Drosophila melanogaster: one gene and its partners. The protein of the gene in region 1 interacts with the protein of each later gene in a pairwise test. Each region holds a gene or a part of one and is shown in the gene's direction. Other genes may lie near its edges. The genes, in order: OS9, KCNQ and CG13585.

What was found.
Region 2: the proteins of OS9 (region 1) and KCNQ interact in a two-hybrid assay, tested with the Drosophila melanogaster proteins (one large-scale study listed by BioGRID).
Region 3: the proteins of OS9 (region 1) and CG13585 interact in a two-hybrid assay, tested with the Drosophila melanogaster proteins (one large-scale study listed by BioGRID).

The regions. Positions count from the first base shown.
Region 1 is NT_033779.5:19,964,233-19,968,752, reverse strand, and holds OS9 (Olfactory-specific 9), read left to right. Parts: upstream 1-2,242; 5' UTR 2,243-2,276; coding exon 2,277-2,333; intron 2,334-2,392; coding exon 2,393-2,935; 3' UTR 2,936-3,089; downstream 3,090-4,520. Other genes in the region: Hf (helical factor), read left to right, coding at 1,099-1,179, 1,243-1,806; CG10680 (uncharacterized protein), read right to left, coding at 3,472-3,690, 3,743-3,913, 3,978-4,109, 4,172-4,327, 4,388-4,414, 4,472-4,520.
Region 2 is NT_033778.4:10,152,751-10,157,939, reverse strand, and holds the start of KCNQ (KCNQ potassium channel), read left to right. Parts: upstream 1-3,062; 5' UTR 3,063-3,165; coding exon 3,166-3,218; intron 3,219-3,305; coding exon 3,306-3,491; intron 3,492-3,594; exon of another isoform or gene 3,595-3,680; coding exon 3,681-3,898; intron 3,899-3,956; coding exon 3,957-4,132; exon of another isoform or gene 4,133-4,338; coding exon 4,339-4,464; exon of another isoform or gene 4,465-4,522; coding exon 4,523-4,633; exon of another isoform or gene 4,634-4,641; intron 4,642-4,833; exon of another isoform or gene 4,834-4,848; coding exon 4,849-5,036; exon of another isoform or gene 5,037-5,064; intron 5,065-5,166; exon of another isoform or gene 5,167-5,189. Other genes in the region: mlt (mulet), read left to right, coding at 1-1,270.
Region 3 is NT_033778.4:24,529,179-24,534,367, forward strand, and holds CG13585 (uncharacterized protein), read left to right. Parts: upstream 1-2,415; 5' UTR 2,416-2,458; intron 2,459-2,466; exon of another isoform or gene 2,467-2,556; intron 2,557-2,933; exon of another isoform or gene 2,934-3,200; intron 3,201-3,261; 5' UTR 3,262-3,291; coding exon 3,292-3,363; intron 3,364-3,419; coding exon 3,420-3,465; intron 3,466-3,718; coding exon 3,719-3,933; 3' UTR 3,934-4,213; downstream 4,214-5,189. Other genes in the region: Brca2 (BRCA2, DNA repair associated), read left to right, coding at 1-157; CG4622 (uncharacterized protein), read right to left, coding at 4,323-5,009, 5,066-5,185.

The DNA.
Region 1 (4,520 bases):
TGTGAACTACGACAATGGCTGCTATCAGGTCTCAATTATAAAGAATATTATATATATATATATATATTTAAAAGCCAAATCAGTACAATGCCTGGACAACTGCAACACAAAAAGCTATGTATATATGCGAAATAACTTATATCAAATATATATCAATATGCAACTTGGTGTTTCAGTGATAGTCCTACTACAATGTGTACCTACATATGTGTGTTATCTCGAAATGCGGATTAAAATTGTTCAAAACAAAAAATTTTCAGTATTCAACTATAAAGTATGCATTCCTAAGTCAATTGGACGTTAATTTAATTATTTTAAGCTGATTGTTGAAAATGCCAGTGCATTTGCCAACAATCGCGGGTAAAGCGTATTATTCTGAACGTAAATGTAATAAGACTTATGTATAAGTACTTTTGCAGAGATACAAAATGAAATAGTTATAAGGACGTTTATCGCATGCCAAACGATCCTTGATCCTTGATATTTTTTGATTTTACACAACTTTAAAAGATAATATAGAAAATATGGTTATTGTACAAATTATTAAGGATGTTTTGGTAATCCAGACTCTTTTCTTTACAATTAAATTTATTTAAAAACACTTTTTCGATTTTACCAACCTTTAGAGATCAGATTGAAAATGTTGTAAGTGTACAAAAGAATGAGCATATTTTGATTATCCGGACGACTTTCTTCCCGTTACAAGCCAATTTACAAATGCTGAATATGAATATATATATACATATAGTCCGGATCAATATGAGAATGCAGTAGCTTGCTAATAACCTAAGTATATGCTAAGATGTGTAATTTACAAATCTAATTGTTAATGTTACTCGTGTGTATGCAGATTACTACTAACATTCGACTAGACGGCATCTTTTTTTCCTAGCTAGCTTAAATAGAAAACCACGAACGAACATTAATGGCCATTAATTTGCTCACTCTACGAAATTCGTATAAACAGTACTTGAGATATTTTCTACTTGCGCTTAATAAAACAAACAAAACCTAAGCCAGTCGAGATTGTTTGGGTGGGGAGACCGTTTGGCATCCGTCCGACATGATCAGTCTAAATCGAGCAGCGATCAGAGGAGCATGGCGAGATCAGGGCGCAGTTCGAGGTTTCTTATCGGCGGCAGCACTTGCTGTTCGATGCTTCTGGGTCTTATCTGTCTGGTGAGTCGGTGAGTCGGCAGTGGATTAGATAAGGAACTTATTGATTTTCCTCTCGATTGCCAGGCTCTGGCGGACTCATCCCAAGTGAAAGAACGCAGCCCTACCATCTTGGTGAGAAATACAATTCAAGCGGTGGAGAGGCTCTTCAATCAGGTGCTCTACACGACCATCGAAGATGCCCGCCAACGACTACCGGGTCTTCCGGCCAACGAAACCATCGATCGGCAGTACTTCGAGGAGCTCGACCTGGTTGCTGGGAACGAGGACTATTACAGCACTGCATTCTATATCTTCGCCTGGATAAACAGCGACCTCATGTACCATAAGACTCCCGATAAGTTGCTCGTCGAGGTTCTTCCCGGCGAGAAGATCGCCATCCGCAGATTCTTCGCCAAGGTCAAGCCGCATCTTACCAAGTATCTGCGACTCAGTCGACAGGACAGGTCGGAATTGGTTTCCAACGTCACCCAGTTGGCCACCGAAACCAAGGACAGTCTGATCACAACCTTCTTGGAGTTTCCCCAGAACCTGAAGAGCCAACTTCCTGAGCTCCAGCTAATGGACTACACCAAATTGGCTCAGGCTTTGGTGCAGGGGGTGGCCAGTGGTATATGGACGAAGGCTTAAGATTAATAGCTAAATATTTAAACAATATCATAGAATTAGAAAGTGTTTGTAATAAAATGAGAAATGTACTTCAAAGAACAATATTCGGAATCTATTTATACGAGGACTTTATTCCTGAAAAATGCCGTTTAACTTCCGGAAAATTTCCGACTGTCTGATCAACATGTGTAGATATCGAGAACTGATACTTTAAAGCAATAAAGATATTATCGTGACTTGGAACTATATACGACTTTGTAATAACAAAATGCATGGTTTCCACTACCCACTAATTAATATACGAAGGGGCAGCACTCGTTCTTATCACGCTCACCGATTTCTGAAGTCTGATTACAGTCTATACGTTGTCTCACGATCAGTGGGTATTCATTACAGAGGAGGCGTTCTCCCATTTTGTATAAAAATTGTGAATTTAAGAGAGGGAATATAAAAGGAATCAGTTCGATAGAGACTAGATACAGTTTCAAATCATGGCCAGCAGACTAACTTGGACTTTTCTAGTCGCTGTAGCTGCCCTCCAGCTTTCGGTAAGATCCTTAGATTTGCTTATATCCTTTTGGAATCAACAGAAACCTTTAACTTTCAGCTTGCAGCGCCTCTCATTAACAAATGGCAGTTACAATTCGAAGTGTCCAATGAACTCTTTCAAATGGTAACAGACGCCATGGAACAGCTACGACATGTCTTTCAATTGGTCATCGACGAGGCCGAACTCATTTTACCACCAAACTCCAAGGGACACATTCTCAGGGAGCTTAAGGACTTCGTCGCGGCCTTGGACACCCTGGACTTCGATGATTCATTCGAGCTGAACAGACTGGAGGATGCTCTTGAGGAACTGGAAAGCATCATTTCGATTGCAGGCAGCAAAGAATTCGAATCGGAAGCTGACGAGGTTGTCGTTCAGCTATTCATACAGCACGGAGTTGAGGACCTGGAGCAGATCCTGGAAAGAAACTTGGAAACTACTCTGAAAATCGTAGAGCAGAAGGTGGAGAAATACATGAGCACATGGTCCGACAGTCGGTTGGCCAGGAACGCGGCGATGGTCAAGCAGTTTAATGACTTTAAGAACGAAAAGGATGTCTATGAGAAGCTGGACAAGTTAACCAACTCTGATTTCATTTGAATAAACATATCATGTTTCAAGTACATTTAAGTTTAAACCAAATAACTACAGATACATAGTCCGAACGTATATATTATTTCCAGAAACTGCCTTGCAAATATCAAAACCAGTAGTCCAGAGTTCATGTTTTGTATTAGCACGCTCGCCGGAAGCTAAAATTTGATTACATATTGCAGCTGATTTAACAATCAATGAGCATATAATAAATACGCTAGTAAGTGTTTACTACTTAGTGCAGGTATGACGTAAGAAATGTGGAATTCATTTTACAAAGGTATTGAATACCTTAATATACCTTTTTTAGATTTGTAAGCTGTCAGGTTTCAATAGCTTTGAAAGTTTTACTGACTTTCTATTCAATACAATTGTTATTTAGTCTGATAAATAAACCGTGCGGAAAGTAAAATAACTGATTATTTGTAATGCCAAGAATCTTTACATTACACACAGACAAGTCAGTATAATCTCTAGCAGCCTTAACTAGTTGTTTTTGAGAACTCGGAACTTTCATTCATCAGCTTCTCTTAGGAAAGGTGTTAAAAGTTGCGATAAGATGATCCAAATCCATCCCGCGAGTCGAACACATCCCGCTCGATTTGGGGAGGTCCTCTTCCATCCGATGTGTAGCTATAGGATTCGCTCCGGTAAAAGTTGTTAGAAGAGCCCCCGGAACCAAGGGGACCACTTCTACCAGTCGGAATACTGGAACCACCGGCGATAAGGGGGATAATGGAACCACTGGATGGCATAGGTACCTGGAGAAGGTGTATTAGTTTTTTAGTTAGGAAAACGATTGCACAAGATTACCGGTCGAGATACAAAGGTTCCTAAGTTTTGATTGCGGAATGGGGAGTCAGGAATTGGTCGAATGCCTCTGCCACGGAAATCCGGGGAACTGGGAAAAGGTCTGTTGTCGAAGCCGCTGCCTCTGGGACCCACATTGTAATCGGTTTGGAATGCATTGTCATAGTTGGGTTGCTGAAATAGTTCAATCGTCAATCGGATTGTAATACTATGTGTAACTACTTATAAAAACACTTACACGAATGGGGAAACCGTTGGATCGGGGAGGGATCTGAGGATAAAACGGTCGAGGTTGGAAGGGGATAGGTCGGAGTGGAACGTCCTCCTCTTCGTAGGTGTCGGTCACCTCCTCCACTTCACCGCTAGATCTCTTCAAGGATAATAAATATATATTTATTTCCATTTATATTAAGTGTATTGGATGAGACTCACCTCTAGAAACTCGACATCGTTATTTGCTTCGGCCAGGGCAGAGCTGTTTCCGCCATTTAAGGATGATCTATTAGAAATAGGTTTGTTGCTCGATTTCGGACTCACTGGCTTGAAGAGATGCGTGGGAATGTTGATAGTTTCACGAGGCACCCTTAGCTGTGGATTATGGAATATTGCAAAGAAGATACTATCTAAATTGTTTGCTAGCAAACTTACCTTGGGATCCGGCAGAGTGTGGCATATCTGAAAATATAGAACTCATTGAAGCCTAAATTGTGGAACAAACCGATGAATAGTTACCCCCTGAGCGATGAACAGACAGCCCAGCAAAACGAATTGGAGCGGCAAC
Region 2 (5,189 bases), on another chromosome or scaffold:
GGTCACCAAGTGCGGCGGACGCATGGAGTTCTCCATCTTCATACCCCGCCTATCCCCGCTGACCAGTGTGCCAGCCTTGCTAGTCCTCAACGACTGTGACATCGATTCGGCCGGGGACTTCGACAGCATCCGGGAGAAGTGCCAGCGGGTGAGGGAACTGGATCTGGCCCAGAACAAGCTGAGCGACTGGTCGGAGGTCTTCAGCATACTGGAGCACATGCCGCGCATTGAGTTCCTCAACCTGAGCAAGAACCAGCTGGCCAGTCCGATCGGCACGTTGCCCACGGCTCCCACGATCAATCTGAAGAGCCTGGTGCTGAACGGCACCTACTTGGACTGGGCCTGCGTGGATACCCTGCTGAAGAATTTGCCCGTGCTCCAGGAACTGCATCTCAGCCTGAACAACTACAGGCAGGTGCTGATCGATGCTGAGGAGGCGGAACAGCGGCTGCAGGAAACGGAAACGCCAGAGGAAACCGAGCGGCGAATCACCAAAGCACATCCTGCTCTAAAGACCCTGCATTTCACCGGTAATCCCGTCGAGCACTGGCAGGAAATCTGCCGGCTGGGCCGGCTGTTTCCCAACCTCGAGGCCCTCGTTCTGGCAGACTGTCCCATCAAATCGCTGCAGGCCGAGGAGAGCAGCGAGACACATAGATACTTCCCCAGCCTGAGGCTTTTGAACCTAAGTTCCGCGCAACTGGATAGCTGGGCGGCCATCGATGAGCTGGCCAAGTTTAGCGAGCTACGCAACCTCCGTGTGAAACACTGGCCCCTCTGGGAAAGTCTGGAGTGCACGGAGCACGAGAGAAGGCAGCTCCTGATAGCCAGGCTGCCCAACGTGGAGATGCTCAACGGAGGCGGCAAGATCAGTAGCGATGAGCGCGTCGACTCGGAGCGAGCTTTTGTCAGATACTATATGGACAAGCCGGAGGAGGAACGGCCTGCGCGCTACCAAGAGCTTCTGCAGATCCACGGCAAGCTGGATCCCTTGGTCAATGTGAGCCTGAAACCAGACAAGCGGGTCAAGGTCCTGTTCACCTACAACGATGTGAGCGAGAGCCGGTTCGTGGACATCTATCTGACCGTCAACGATTTGAAGGTGAAGCTGGAGAAGCTGGTGGGTCTGGCGCCCAACAAGATGCGCCTCTACTATCTGGATCAGGACTACAAGGAATTCGGGCCGGAGGAGATGAGGTACCCCAACAAGCAGTTGTACAGCTACAACATCCAGTCGGGCGACGAGATCATCATCGATGCCAAGAAGTGAGGCGCGACGTATGGGCTACATGCTTCCGTATCTGGAGAGGATTACCATTAACCCGAACCGCCCTTCGTCCCCCGCCTGGTGCTACAACTTGTGATCTTGTACACGAATCATTTACATTTACTTTACTCTACTGTTAGTGCCGTTCTGTTCTCCGCAGCGAACCCCTGTGTACATACGTTCTGAAAATGGCCAAGCGAGCATTACTGCGCACCCACATCGTATATTTTAATTATTACTGCCTAACCTAAGCCACACACAAAATACAAATACAAACCACCACAAAAAAAAACAAAACAAAAACAAAACAAAAAATCAAAAAAACAAGCAAGAATGCATTAAACAATTTTAAAATTTACCCACTCTCCGCGTTTTATGGTGATGGGCAGCACTTTGCGCTGGGGATCGCTGGAAGATAAGATATGACTCATAGAGCGAACTCGAAGCACCCCAACACAGGCACACGTCCACGGATTGGGGATAGTGGGGAGCTTTCGCGATCCCGTTGTCGATAGCTGACTTCAGCACTGCAATTATCTCGCTCGAGGGGAGCTTTGAAAAGTTGCCGGAAAAGAGACCTGAGAACTGGCTCTCCCGCTTCCCACATACAATTAGCTGAACAATAAGTATCTATGATGGTTACACGTCCACTTAACACATTTTTGTTATGGACACTGGTGTTCAAAATAATAGTGATGAAATGTCTAGTAAATAATTCGTCAACGATTTAAATAACTCTAAAATATTTAATATTTTCACAAAATTAAAAAAAAAATTATATTTATGTTAAACATTTTATAATATTTTGAATCTGATATATAGGTATCTTAGATGTAAGTTATAATTCTTATACTAACATTTATGTGATATTCAAATAAAATGCTATGCTCGTACTATTATTTTGATTACAACTACATGATATTCACCATTTAGCGGGTATTTATCACGTTCTGGCCAGTGAAATCACGATTATTTGCTTTGCTTTCATCTAAAGCTGTTTATGAACAGTTAATTTATTGATTTATCAAGAAGGTCAAGATGAGAAGCTTGAATTCTTTTCTTGTTGAGCGTTTCCTTGTTATGTGTCTTGTGAAAGATCTTTTCTTATAGATCAATAATCATGACAAAAGCAGTTTATATAGATTTCCTTATTAAGCGATCATTGTCTCGTAATTCATATATTTGAAAGCTAAAAGTATCTGAACAAAATCTTATCTTCCCTATTTTTAATAAATACTTTTGAGAGAGATGTATCTGATCCTTAAATCTGTTGTTTAGGTGCCGTACTTAATTTTATCCTACCACTGAAACCCTTATAGAATCGAATACCAATATCCAAGTAAAACGCTCCCATTAGCGGCTGGTAGTTTTCCAGCACTCCCCGAATGAATTGCCAAAACTCACCCATATTTGGGTTGTTGGGGTATGGCAAGTGCCAAATGTTAATGACGTAGGATCGATAGGCAGCACGTTGGGCAAAGACAAAGTCGAGAGATCGTGACTAAAGCGAACCTGACCCGCCCACAACGGCGATGGGGAGCCGAAACGAAACCGTCGCTAAAATGCGCGAAATTTTATGGGGCTCTGCTGATGACGAGCTGCAATATACTTGGGTATATGGGGTATTTATTAAAACAAATCAAATAGAGGTCTACGCAGACTTGGGCTGTCGTAAAAATGCAAGGTGTGTGGAACGAAAAAACTGTTTATGTAGATAATTAATAAAATTTACACATGGGGTTTTGAAAGTCTAGTTGTTAAGGAAGGTTTTTTAACCGGCCGTCGCTCGCCCGTCGATCGAGTTGCGGTTCAATCGTCGTTGGAGCCAGACGTGTCCGAAGTGTCAAAAATATTTGCCGAGATTTTCCGAGAACTCAGCGTTGTGGAATGAGATCAGAATGGATCCGGACAACGATATTTATGCCTTCTACGACATAAGGGGGTACAAGGGGTACACTTGAAAAAATAATAGCAACTTAAGTGATTACCACAATGCAGCAAATTCAAATACTAAACTTTCAAACTTCTGGACTTGCAGGAAATGTAGACCGGGCAGGCCGAACTCGGAACGAATCCTGCAACCGCGAATGTCACTCCTAGGAAAGCCGCTGAACTACAACCGCGGCACCCGCCGCGATGTTCGCTACCGGCGCCTCCAGAGTCGCCTCTACAACTTCCTGGAGCGGCCGCGCGGCCTGCACGCCATCTTCTACCATGTGATGGTGTAAGTACACTGCAAAAAACGTTGTTAAAGTGTTCATAATAGCATCTAGTTCAAGCTTCACGTAAGAAAAGTGAATTTCTTTAGAAGCAGTGTTGATTTTATTACACTAAAAATTATTGAATGCCATAAGAGAAAAAAGTATTTATTTACTTTACATTACAATAATTTGTGATTGCTCATTTCCTAAAGATTCCTGATGGTGTTCACCTGCCTGGCGCTCAGTGTGTTTTCCACCATCAAGGAGTACGAAGAGGACGCCGTCTACATTCTGTTCCGCATGGAGATCCTGGTGGTTATCTGGTTCACAATGGAGTTTGGAGCTCGACTCTGGTCATCGGGCTGCCGATCGCGATACCAGGGATGCCTGGGTCGACTGAAGTTCGTGAAGCGACCATTCTGTATTATAGGTAAATAACAAAAAAAAAAAATTAGTTTCACTAACTGAATGATATTTGTGCATTCCAGATATTGTCACCATTTTAGCCTCAATTGTAGTATTAGGAATGGGCACCTCGGGCCAGGTGTTCGCCACGAGTGCTTTACGTGGCCTCCGGTTCTTTCAGATCCTTCGGATGGTGCGCATGGATCGGCGGGGCGGCACCTGGAAGCTGCTCGGCTCGGTTGTATACGCACATAGACAGGTGAGTTTGTTTTCCACGTTTACACCTTGAAAGTATTTGCTCAAGTTCTCTTTGATTAGAGTGCTTAAGAAGATCACTTTCTTATCGTTATCGGGATGACAAGTGCACTTTAATTGCGTAAATAACACATGCTTTAAAGTTAATTAAATGCCTTATCTTTAAAAACGTACACGATTTCCTATCTACATATATATTTTGACTTGCAGGAACTGATCACAACCATGTACATAGGGTTCTTAGGTCTAATCTTTGCATCATTCCTGGTCTATATGTGGGAGAAGGACGTCAATGATAAGTTTAGCAATTTCGCCCAAGCCCTCTGGTGGGGTGTGGTGAGTCCCTTGGATCCCATGACATAATCACAGTGCTAGCCCATCCTTTCGATTCCAGATCACACTCTGCACGGTGGGCTATGGAGACATGGTGCCCATCACCTGGCAGGGCAAGCTAATTGCCTCCTGCTGCGCCCTTCTGGGAATATCCTTTTTCGCTTTGCCAGCTGTAAGTCACTTTTAGATTACGAATAAACATAGCTTTAATAGTGCCACCTATTTTTAATTACTTTTTGATACGAGGGCTAGTGATAAAGACATGTTATCTCACTATTTATGATTGACAATGAAGTGCTGTTATACTATTCTTATCGATCAATCATAGAAGCGCAGCCACAGTTGATCATAAATTCGAATTTCACTTCATACCTTCTTTTTTCCCAGGGCATCCTCGGCAGCGGATTTGCTCTGAAGGTGCAGCAGCAGCAGCGGCAGAAGCACATGATTCGCCGTCGCCAGCCGGCGGCCACTCTCATCCAGGCCGTGTGGAGATGCTATGCGGCCGACGAGCATTCCGTATCGGTGGCTACGTGGAACATCCACCGGGTGGCGCTGCCCAGTCCGCCAGCTTCGTATGTATTGCCTTAATATCGACTGATCCTTTGTGGGGCGGAACATTTGAATGAAACTCAAGTATCTTTTGGGGGTATATTACAGAAGAGAAGTTCAACGAGTACTGTACAGTATCGATAAAACACTTACACAGTCACAAACACATGCACACT
Region 3 (5,189 bases), on another chromosome or scaffold:
TCCCAAGCCTTCCTCGACAAGTACTCCGCTGGCCGACAGGGACTTAAATCGCTCCAAGGACTGTACAAAGAATAGACAGGATGCGGAGGACATGTCCCCTATTTGCATGCAACCCAAAAAGAGTCGAAGACTTGGTCTGAGTCGAAGTCGCTATTAGTACACATTAAGTAAGCGTTGCTTTATACCCAAAATATTTAAACCGCTGGCCGATTTGAAATGGGTAGAGATTTAGTTGAATTAATTAAGGTATGCCATTAGTGGTCTCATCATGACAGATTGAATAATTGTATAAGTTATCATAATAAGCGTTTTTTGTTAAGTGCACCTTATAAGGAAATAAACGATCCGATAAGGGCCACCCGCTAACCAACTTCCTTAAAGGTGCCCACTTACGAGTTCCGCGAAAAAAACGAGAAGAGACGAAATCAGTCCCACAGTTCACAAAACAAATGCGAAAAAGTAGTAGTCCAGGTCGAATGCCTTAGCCGGCGGCTCATCATCGCGCATCAAGGTATAGATTCCCTGATGGATGAGCTCCCGGAAAGTGTCCGCCTTCATTTTGATGCTGATCCCGTGCTCCTGCAGGCGCCTCATGAACTCACTGGTCATCGCCAAGTACGGCAGACTGTTGGACACGCAGTAGGATTCGAGGGTAAAACCCACGGCCTGGCGAATCATGTTGAAGCGCGGCGTCTTCAGCAGGTACTGCTGCATCAGGATCAGCTCCAGGCGGTCCTCGTACAATATGTATATGTAGCTCTGATTGAGCCCATCCCGGTACGCCTTTAGCAGGGTGGCGTTCAAGCTCAAGCTGTTCCTGCGGAGCCGTTCGGGCAGGAAGGTTTTCGCCTTCATCTGACTTCTGTAGTACTCGTCGTGCAGACTGGGGTAGGGAGCCCTGGCCAGATCCTCCAGAGTGTTGTACTCCTCGTCGTACAGCCCGGATGTGAGGATGCTGGAGAGCGTGGCCAAGTAGACGTTGGTCAGTATAAAGCCTCCGATCGTTAGAATGCCATGGATGGCCACGTCCCTCCAGCCAGCAACTCTGATTTTCTGGTGGCAGTTGTATAGGATGTGGCTGAGGCTGTACAGCAAGCACTTTCCAATCTCGACTCGTGCTCCTCGCGCAGCCAGATGCAGCATTACGGTTCCGTACAAGACAGTCGAAATCACGACCGCCCAAAGGGTCCAGCCGAAGGGCTTGGAGTAGTACAGATAACTGGAAATCGGACGGGCGTGGGGAGCCATGAAGTACTCGCGGATAATCGAAAGTGGTGCTGTGTAGGCCACTTCCAAGCTGAAATCTTTGAAGTAGCAAACAATGTCGATCTTTTTTGTATGTAGCATTTCAGCAACGGCCAAGTATACATCATATTCCGGCAGATCGGGTATGGGTACACTCTCGATGGTGGCGTTATAGCGATAAGTCAGCTCCTTGACCGCTGTGAACAAATATCCTGCTCGCACCAAGCCACCCTGTTCGTTGGAGTACTCAAAGTCCCGAGGAGCTAATGTGCTTCGAAGTATGCGGACAGGAAAGCCTTGAAAGTTTCGAATTATCCTTGCGCGATCGAAATACTCGGACACATTTGATAGGCTGATCGGTTGAATGCTAGGATACGGTAGGTAGCTGTAGAGGCCCTTTCCGCTCATCAGAATTACATTTACGAATCCCTCCTTGAAGCAGTAGGTGTAGAGGTCCTGTTTCGGAAATCCTGGTTCCTCATTGCTCAGGAACACTATGTGCAGCTCATGGAGCTCGTCCAACAAGCGTGGCAGAAGACTGGCAACCAGTGGATTCAGATCTGAATCCATTACACTTACTATGATAAGGGTACTCTCTGTGAAGTTTCCCCGAATTCTAAGATCTCTAGCTTCCCTCGAGTTGGAGGAGAGTAAAATTCTCGGCGAGTCCAATTTGTGGAGTATCTCTGAGGTGGCGCAGCACTCAAAATCGATGAACACATTGAGCTCCGTTTGGAGAGCCAAATTGAGATCCTGGAGTACTTGGACTTGCATGGATTCCGAGTCAGAAGCCCCGACCAAGCACAGAAGAACTGACACCAGCAGAAAAGAAATCATTTTAATTACCATAAGGCAGCGGGAAAATGCTTTTATAGGCTGCGTAGAATGCCCACATGACAAGGCAAAAATATTTTCAGGTTGCATTTAAAAGGATAATGGATTAATTGCCATCCACCCCATCAAACCAAAGCTCAAGAAGACAAATGTCATATTACTCTTCCATTAACCTAGTGTATATTAGCAAATAACTCAAGTCATTTTAGCTGTTTGAGTTGCAGGATGAAGTAGATTCCAAATCAAACAGTTTTGAATTTCCCGCCCACTGAATGGAAACTTTCAAGCACTGGCAGCTCCACCGATATATGCCTCCAGTTCTGGTCGCTGTCCAGCACTACCATATGTGCACTTTTTATTCCCATTCCAATTCCAGTTGGTAAGAAAAGTGTAATTGTTACGTTGTGGCAGTGAAATTGTATCATAATTCTTTTACCATTCCAAATCGGAGCATATTAGAGTGTTAAGACCCGCAAGGTAACGACACTTAATTGCCAAACGCCCGCAGATGAGTTTGTTTACGCCCCCTTTGTGGCAACAAAAACAAAAGGGGAAAGTTGTGTTTACGTTTTCTAAAGCCAGATACCGTTTTCGGGGTGGTTTTGGTTCAATCGGGGAGTTTCCAACGGAAAGGCCTTGTAATTAAGTGTGATAAGGGCCCTCGCTCTCGCTGGCAATTAAAACTAGACGTCTTGTTTCTTCTGATAATCGTGTTTTTGAGTCAAATACCTACACACCAAGCAATCGGGTTTACGTGTGTGTATACACTAAGTGGGGCGGCATTGGGGTGGACCCTTTGCACAGTTGAATCCCTCTGCTCAACTGGCGTTAGCTGTCAAGTGTGTAAGTTATTTGCTCCCAGCTGCCCCAAAATTGAAGCTGTGCTCTGTGGGACCCAAGTGGCAGAACAACATAGTCCAGACATATAGGTACCAGTACATACGACCGACTCGCTCCGCACTCGCGATTTGAAAGCCCCTTTATCGGAACCATATGAGTATGCATGTATAAAACTCGATTGCGGCCGCAAATAAATTAGTCTCAGTTCGGTTCGTTTTGTTTGGAAACAGTTCTCTCGATCTCCGAACAGACACGTCAGTGTCAGTGGCAGCAGGCAAAATGTAGTATTTGCAATTCCACACTCAGTTTTCCCTATAGTATAACCTACTCCGATCTCCGCAGCGCAACTCAGACTAAGGCTAATCCGAAACCATGTCCGACGACTTCGATGGCTGCGAGTGCGTCTGGTCGCAGGAGTATGCGATGCAACGCCTCATCAACTTCGTAAGTTTCTGTGCGCGCAGCTCCCAGCTCATTTGATCAAGTGTACTTCCTTATAGATACGACAAAACCAGAATGCCTGCGGGGACAACGAGTGTTACGATGGTCAGTATCAATGTCTCACGTCTTTTTTTAAGTATGAAAACATTTAGATTTATAATACATTTTGCACAGCATGAAATCAGTAACAGTCTTTTACTCAAGTGAAGATTGTAACATTCATTTTTCGCATTTGCATTTTTAAAACAATTCAGTATAGACTAGGGTCATACGCGCTTAGTGATAAGTTGCCAAAAAGTATGCAGTGCTTCTACTTGCGGACTATAGTATAAACCATAACTAATCCATCCGTCCTCAGTCACCGGACGCACTCCGCACCAGGCGCAGATCGCCGGACGCGGCGATGACAGCGGCTTCTCCGTCGCCATGATCTTCCTGATCGTGGCCATGTTCATGTACATAGTGAACCCGAGTACCTGGGGCAACTTCACCAGCAACAAGCGAGCTGGCGGCCGACGCGACAATAACCAGGACGGCTCTCCGCCGCAGCCTCCTCCGCCGGCCATCAACTAGGCGACTCCGAGGACCCCTGCTTCTACGAAACCTGAGCATCCACAACACAATTTTCAGACCGCAATTCCTTGTTTTGTTAATTCTCCCACTATTGGGACAGAAACCACGGATAGAACCAAATCAATCGACTTGGTGGCATCCATTCGCACGTTTACACAGAACACAGATTAGGCAAATTATACACCTCTTACATTGTACAAAACACAAAACCGCGCACTCTGAAACACACCGGCTTATCAACTAACATATTTGGACACTTTTTAAAAGACTTTGGAAAACTAACCGCTTTCCTTGTGTATTTCCTTTGTACAAGAGGCTTTAAAATCTTTAAAATGTACATATGGTGGGCGGGAATTGATGTGGTTTGTATTGCCGTCTCCCTGGTCTCGTCAGTTCTCGTTCTGCAGTTTCACCATCTTTTCGCGTACGTTCTTTAGCAGATCCTTCATTTGTTCGTACTTTCCCGTGGAGTCGGGCAGGTTTTCAAAGTTGATCACATCGCTGACGCCCACCTTAAAGTTGCTGCCCACAGGCAGTCTGTCGTAAACGGAGAATTTCAGCAAAGGCGTGCCCTCATAAGACGCCTTAAAGGGAGTCGAGGGTGCTGATCGGGACTGCTCATTATTTCCGGACTCGGCAGCAGATGGACCAACCTCCGTCTCAGACGTGTCATCCAGGTCGGTTGGTGATTTCGATTCATTCGCTGTCGTGTTATGCGACGCATTAACATCCAGCTCTTGGAGGAGCTCCTCCTGCTGGGCCTTCAAATCTTCCAGGCTTGGAGATGGCGAGCGCGCTGTCAGTTCGCCATCTTCGCACTCTTCGGGCGGAGGTGGTTGCGGCGGGGGCACTGATGGTGGCAGTGGAGGGTCCTCTGTTTCCTCTTCTAGTTCCATGTCGTAGTCATCGAAGCTGGTCAGCAACTCGCTGGGAGCGGGAACACGGTCGTGTGGAGCAGGCAAATCCACTAGCTTCTTGCGCTTGTAACCGTTGATCACGTTTTCGCCCAACGATTTAATGAAGTTCTCCTTGGACTGGCTCTCTTGGAATGGCGGTACATTGTGGTGCTTAAAATCCTGTGGGTTTGTGGGATAATGAAAGGATACGTTGGTTTTGTAATATCAATACTTACGTCGAAACAATTGGCCTTAGGCTGGACGTTGAAGCCGGGATACTCCACTATTTTGTTGACGTCGTATTTAAAGGTTTCGGACTCTCCCTCTTCCTCGTCGGATTTTGTAACCTCCGAGCCCTGC